Kluyveromyces lactis: one gene and its partners. The protein of the gene in region 3 binds, or shares a complex with, the protein of the main gene of each other region. Links are inferred from orthologs where the notes say so. Each region holds a gene or a part of one and is shown on either strand. Other genes may lie near its edges.

Region 1 (2,418 bases), on a different chromosome or scaffold from region 3:
TGACATTTATCAAATACGATAAGACCGTTCCAGTGAAAATTATGGAAGGGTCTGATGTGAAATTTTCATATATACCTACGGATCTAGAATACGTCCTTCAAGAATTGCTTAAGAACAGCTCGAGAGCACATATTGAAAACAACGTTGACAAAGATGTGGAAGTAACAATAGTGAAAAACGACGATCAACTTGAGATCAGAATCAGAGACTTCGGAGGCGGTATAGATCCACAGGTAGAAGACCGAGTCTTTGATTATTCTTTTTCCACAACGGTGAAGGAAGAGAAGGACAGCGGTATGAGCGATTATGTTTTACCTGGTCAAGAAGTCCAAAACGTTGCAGGTATGGGATTCGGACTTCCAATGTGCAAAGCGTACCTAGAGTTGTTCAATGGTACACTTGACATTCAGTCATTGTGGGGATGGGGTACTGATGTTTATATACGATTGCACGGTCCATCGGATAGACTATTCGACAAATGAGAACACTGTACTATCATTCAGTCCCGGAGCTTTCCATTGCAACGTGTTTATACTGTTAGCGCTATTTACAGATATAATCCTATTTATTGAGAAACATATATTCATATATACAAGAAGTTATCACATGTCATGATTAGCTTCTGTTTGCAGTTCTTTGAGGAAGCACCGATATGTCTTTGTGAACCTTAGACATCAAACCTATTGCTTGGCATCTCTTAATAGCCTTTGTTAGACGACGCTGGTTCTTAGCCGATAAACCAGTTACATCTCTGTGTAATATTTTACCCGTTGATGTCACAAATCTTGACAAGAACTCTGGGTTGGTGTATAAATCAAGTGGATTGATCTTCAATTTGTTGAATGGGTCAAACGATCCAGGACGTACCCCAAACTTCTTATCTAAATGTATTCTTTCTAAGGAGAAATCAAATGGATTGTAAACGGAGCCCGGCTGAAAGTTTTTGATTAACTTGGATTCTAGCTTCTTGATTGTGGGCTTGCTATTAGCTTCCGACATACCTTCTTTCAGAAGTTTTTGGTCAAGACTGTTGCAGACATATCTTGTGGTAGAAAAGAATCTTGCGCAGCTGCGGGAAAACATTTCTTCTGATGTGTTTTAATTTATTCAATCTCTCGTTAACAGGCGTAGAAAGGCCCGAGCGACTTGGTTGTTTTCCTTCTCTTGCTTGCTTAATATTCATGTTATTGAATAAAATTTTCCATGTTGAAAAGATCTCTAAATTTCAAAAAAAAAGAGATTGAAATAAAGGATACTTAAGTCATTGCCAGGCATTCAACCTTTTTCCTGTTGTCAACCCAGTTTACGCAGATCAACCTTGGAGGTGTAGCGCGATTGATCGGAAAGCTCTTGCAGGAAGTCGGGCATCCCTGTGGATCAAACCCGGCGCGCTCCAGCACCTACAGGCCGATGCAATCGGCCTCCTATTCTTTGACCTGGCCAAAACTGATGATCCGTTTGCTGGGTACCGGCGACGGTACCGCTGAGCGCTGCTATGCCGGCAGTCAGGTTGGTTATAGCCAGCAAAATGGAGCCGAGTGCCTACCCAGGTCAGCGGTGCGTTGCGCTTGGTCACGTGTGAGATTTCGTGTGCCAGCATCGAGGCTAGCTGGCTTTCATTGTCGGTAACCTGCAGCAGTAATGGATCTTTGATCAGCGGCGCGCTGGCGCGCTGCTGCCGCACGTAGAAATCGCCCATAGCCAGCCGTGGGCCACAATCAAACGTTTACCCCAGCTTTTCGGCAGGGTCTTGATTCTTGGCTGGATCTGATGGGAATAATGAATCAGTAAATAACTGCGATTCTGAACTAATTCGAGGATTTTATCAATATTGGTGTGATTTCCAATGTAACATCAATTCATCTATTATCAGTCAGTGTTCTATCCGCTCTGGTGGTTATTCAGGTTAAGTAGGTTAACATATAAACGTAACAACAAATTAAAAAGCTGGAAAATATTACTACTTTTCCAGCTTTCAATCCATTAATCGTTAAATACAAAACTTTCTTCAGCTAGATTGTGGTCTTTTCTATAACTCTCGTCCAATATTAAATAATCATCTGGTTGTTTAGAGCTTACTCCTTTCAACCAAAACTGTTCACCGTAAGCTATCAGCATTGCCCAATGATACTCAAGTTCATGGCTACGAAGACATACTGCCAGATAACTATCAATGGGCTTACATACTAATGAAGACGATAAAACCATTAATTCAGCCTCATCTTCTTTTTTATTTGCATACTTAACGATAATTGCTTTAAGCATTTCTACCCAAGTATGGAAATTAAAAACAACTGTTTCTTCAGGATCATCTTCGTCTTTAAAAACAACTCCATCAACAATTTTATCCTTATTAATCATTATCGACAACCTCTAACTTTAAATCTATCAAACAGCGCAGCTGCTTTCTTTCTACAA
Region 2 (2,382 bases), about 1.8 Mb from region 3:
CACAGAGTTTTTCCACATGCGCAGTTGGCCATTGATTTGTTGATATTATATTGCTCAAAAGTTTCAAAATATGAATGATTTTGGAGTTCAATTCACTTGCACCTCCCATTGCTCTTAGCTTCTTATTGGAAATCGTTGCAGATTCATCAAGGATGGATACCAATGCATTAATAGCGAATGCTGAGATCAAAGGTGATGCGACGTGTTCTGCTGTTGGACCAGGTGGAGGGTTTTTTAGAATGTTGGTAATTGCATCCTGTGCTCTCTTCCTTACTTTTGGTCTTGGATCTAGAGATAGCTCAAGTAGACCATCCAAACCTCTTGTTGGAGTCACCTTTAAATTTTGAGTGTTATTCCACGTTTGCGTATCCTGGGCAATTAACAAAGCTTCTAAACAACCAAGAGCGGATTTGATCAAAGGAGCGTTAGCCTTTTCATCAGTAATACATGGGGCAACTTTAATCAAAATATCAGCAAACCTGCTCTTTAATATTTTCTTTGGTGTATAATGAAAAATGATGTCCAACAAATACATCGTTGATGTTGCTAATTGTAGATCTTTAATGGCCGCAGTTTCTGTATCGATAGTTTGATCCAGCAAGGACATCAAAGAAATAAGATAATTCACGATGTTCTTATTAATTGCCTCTTGCTCATTAATATTTTCTTCAATAGCAGCCAAGATTATGGCAATGTGCTTCTGATTCTCTAGTTTTGATGTAGATTGTCCTCTGATTTTAGCAAGCTTATCTTCAAGTTCAAGAAGCTTGGACGCTTGTTCAGGACCCATATTGCACAATTTGTTCGCTTGTCAGTTTTCAATCCCAAGTTAAACTCAGTAATTCTCTTTTCTGAGGTGTTGTTGATTATAACTCGTCTCTACTTGTTAGATGAGATGAGCGATGAGATGAGCTAGATTGAAAATTTTATACAGCTTGTGAAAAATTTCTTTTTAAGCCCTTAGTGATGAAGCAGCAAGGATCGTGAGGCAATGAAGAAAGCAGAGAATAAAAAGTAAATAAATTTTGGTTAATATATGCCAACTCTGTATATATGCGTCTGCTAAACGGGTTCAAGAACATACTATTTCATTATTTGTGTCGTTAACTTTCTTTACTGAATGCGATGTTATTTGTAATGCCAAGTCGTTTTATATGACTGCATTTTTGGTAAACTAATTCCCACCGTCAGTCTAACTCCAGTAAATAAACACTTTCTCACTTATAGATACTTTCTCATAGATCAACTTCCTATACTATTAGGCTGTAATGTCGCCATAAACGCCTAAGACGAATGTTGCTCATACGGCTGTTAGATATCCCACCTATATCACGTGATAGACATGCTTTATTTAGTTGGTGTTGAAAATCCTTCGAAAGATAGAAAAAAAAATTCAATCAACATTAAAAGCGTAATAACAGGACAAACATATTATGTATCAAGACGACCAGAGCGAGTAAACCAAGTCTCTTAAACCAGAATTTAACGCCAAGTTTGGTGAAATACAATAATCATGACGAAAGGTTTGGTGAGGATAAGACTAGCTAGATTCGGAAGGAAACATACCCCAGTATACAACATAGTTGTTACCAACAAACATAAGGCGTTGAATAGGAAACCAATTGAAGTATTAGGAACATACAACCCAATCCCAAAACCATTAACGAAGAAAGAGGTTAAACAAGGTGTTGTTCCTACTAAAGATGTGGAATTAGACTTCGGAAGAGCTAAATACTGGATCGGTGTTGGTGCTCAACCTAGTGATACGGTAACAAGACTATTGAGAAAAGCTGGAATCCTGGATGAAAATTGGGGAAAGACCTACACAAGTAGTAGGGTTGTTATTGAACCTAGGAAAGAAGTCTTTGAAGAATAGACCAGCTGTTCCGATTACTGTATTAAAAGCGGTATATCAATAATCAGGGCATAAATCACCATCTCCCAAGGCTTTCTTACGGTCAAGAACTCATGTATATAGGCTTAAATTGATAAGAGGAATTCGGGCACTTTTTCCGGTCATAAACCAATGTAGTAGTTACATACACTTAACAGCTTGGCCCCATGCGGTAAAATTGAAGTGATTAAATTTACATATCACCATATATAAGATGCTATCAGGTAATTCTACACAATAATAATAATCGTCATCAGCATATATTTCCCTGAATGAGGGAAGTATCATCGAGGAATACTGACTGTTAAACTATGTGATTTCCGAAAATTCATAAATATTAACAAAATTACAAGAACAAAAAGATGGTTTATGTTATGTTTTTGTGAATGAGTGAGTGAATGTCTAACTTCTCAAGTATTTAATAGGTATGTTTGGTGTAATGTTCAGGTTTGTATTGGAGATTAGTGCTCATGATGTTACATCGAGTC
Region 3 (2,126 bases):
CAAATGGTAACACAAGAATTAGCCTCACAATATCTTATAACCGAATACCCCAGACATATAAGAAAGGTTCAAGAATGCCAATTGAAAACACTTCTCTCGTGTGTGGCGGATGCATCAACGAGCCAAAAAAAAGAGCCAAACCCTTGTATATTCACTAGACTTTATTATAACTAGATTTATTTTCCTTTAAAGTGTACCTACTGTTTTTTTTTTTTTTTTTTTTTTTTTTTTTTTCTATACATTCCGCAATAGTGCTTCAACACTACCCTCTTCATATAGGAAACCGTCAAAATCTCACTAGTGTTTCATTACCACATGCTAGCGTGATATGGAGGTGTATATAAGCCATTGCTATCGTTAACTACCGTATATGGGGCTATCTTGACGCATTTTGCCAAATAGTGACGGAACGGCTGTTACTCGGCAGCAGACACCAGGAGAGAAAACTATCTGATCTTATGCACGTGATACAAAAACTAAAAAAATAGACAGTCGCTTTAACACCAGCCTACCTAATTACTCGAGCCCGGAAGTCAAACTACCCCGCAATATTCTATCACGCATAATTCAAGTAGTTGGTTCAAACACCCTATTTACCTGCACCCACCTTACAGCTTGATCGTCCATAATCCAGTATAGTTGTTTGATATTTCAAAATAGGAAATACAACAACTACCTCAGTAAGGACTTTTCTCGTAATTCGGAACCCGCATAGTGCAGCTGGTGTTCCCAACGAAATGAACAAAATCTTTTAGGTTAAAAGATCTCTCAAACCATGCACATTTTCTGAACAATTTCCCGGACATCAGCAACAACACATATTCGATCACATGACTTCCGAATATTTTCAACTATGATTTTTCATCATCAGAAACTGACAAAAAATTATGAAGCAAATGTTGAATTGAAAGAGTTATATCAATCGGTCAGTGAATAAATGTTGGCGTAAGTTCAACTCTGAGTTTGACTTACGTGCACTGGATCTTAAGAAACAATCCTGTCAAAGATACCAATGTTCAAACAGGTTTTCGGATTGAGCAGTAGTCTGACTAGACTATCGTTGCGTAATGTTCGTTCAAGCATAGCATTTGCACCACCACTGCAACAACGTTCTTTCTCATATACTTCACCAATACAAGCCACGTTGAACCAAATAAAGAGAGGGGTCAAGCCTCCTGGCCGTAAGAAGATCACTGAATCCCCAGATTTGGAGGTATGCCCGATTCGTAAAGGAGTTGTGCTAAGAGTGATGGTATTGAAGCCAAAGAAACCTAATTCTGCTCAGAGAAAAGCTTGTAGAGTGAGATTAACCAATGGTAACATTGTTTCTGCATATATCCCAGGCGAAGGCCATAACGCACAAGAGCACAGTATTGTATATGTTCGTGGAGGCCGTTGCCAAGATTTACCTGGTGTGAAATATCATGTTGTCCGTGGTGCCGGTGATTTGGCCGGTGTTGTCAACAGAATCAGCTCCAGATCGAAGTACGGTGTGAAGAAACCAACAAAGGAGTAAGATACCAACAGTATTATATTCTGAATTATCAACATAAAATATATACTTATGTTTATAAACTAGACCTTCATGTAAATATGCGAATAATCTATCTACTGGTTGCTCAATCTTTATGGCCACGTGACCGAAATTTTGTTCGGATGGTTTTTCCATCATAGAAAAGTGCTGAAAATTTAGTTAACAACGATTTCAACGAAAAGGTGCCCCTATTGGAACAAACAGAAAGAAAGATTCATCATCTGCAAGGAATTGGGAAATTTCGAAGAGACTAAACCTGCTCAGTGTTGAGGAAACTTACAAGTTGATATTGTTCCAAGTCAATTGAAGAAAAGCTCATAGACTTGTTCGAAAAAAAAGCCTGGGTGAACACTTGTGAGCCTTCTAATATCAATACATAATAATGTTACACCTTAAACCATACAACCTATTGGTCCAAAAGACATTAACAGAAGCTTTGGAAGCTTACAACAATGGGTCTCCTTTAACTTTGGACAGAATCATCTCCGACTTTGATTATACAACGTTACACATCACCAACGATGGCACTGATAAGTCGAACCTATTAGTTTCCATCAGAACCAAGGCTACGCAATCTTGTAATGAGAGTGGG

Evidence for each region.
Region 1: MRPS12 (region 3) and RSM18 share a complex: the UniProt entries of both Saccharomyces cerevisiae proteins name them as parts of the mitochondrial small ribosomal subunit. The link is inferred for Kluyveromyces lactis from reciprocal best matches to the Saccharomyces cerevisiae genes MRPS12 and RSM18.
Region 2: MRPS12 (region 3) and MRPS16 share a complex: the UniProt entries of both Saccharomyces cerevisiae proteins name them as parts of the mitochondrial small ribosomal subunit. The link is inferred for Kluyveromyces lactis from reciprocal best matches to the Saccharomyces cerevisiae genes MRPS12 and MRPS16.

What each region holds. Positions count from the first base shown.
Region 1 is NC_006041.1:409,199-411,616, forward strand, and holds RSM18 (mitochondrial 37S ribosomal protein bS18m), read right to left. Parts: upstream 1,084-2,418; coding exon 616-1,083; downstream 1-615. Other genes in the region: protein kinase PKP1, read left to right, coding at 1-482; KLLA0_E04577g (uncharacterized protein), read right to left, coding at 1,313-1,699; KLLA0_E04599g (uncharacterized protein), read right to left, coding at 1,984-2,361. UniProt on the Saccharomyces cerevisiae protein: Component of the mitochondrial ribosome (mitoribosome), a dedicated translation machinery responsible for the synthesis of mitochondrial genome-encoded proteins, including at least some of the essential transmembrane subunits of the mitochondrial respiratory chain.
Region 2 is NC_006042.1:2,519,190-2,521,571, reverse strand, and holds MRPS16 (mitochondrial 37S ribosomal protein bS16m), read left to right. Parts: upstream 1-1,513; coding exon 1,514-1,876; downstream 1,877-2,382. Other genes in the region: mRNA-binding protein RRP12, read right to left, coding at 1-790. UniProt on the Saccharomyces cerevisiae protein: Component of the mitochondrial ribosome (mitoribosome), a dedicated translation machinery responsible for the synthesis of mitochondrial genome-encoded proteins, including at least some of the essential transmembrane subunits of the mitochondrial respiratory chain.
Region 3 is NC_006042.1:670,198-672,323, forward strand, and holds MRPS12 (mitochondrial 37S ribosomal protein uS12m), read left to right. Parts: upstream 1-1,012; coding exon 1,013-1,516; downstream 1,517-2,126. Other genes in the region: ARC35 (Arc35p), read left to right, coding at 1,917-2,126. UniProt on the Saccharomyces cerevisiae protein: Component of the mitochondrial ribosome (mitoribosome), a dedicated translation machinery responsible for the synthesis of mitochondrial genome-encoded proteins, including at least some of the essential transmembrane subunits of the mitochondrial respiratory chain.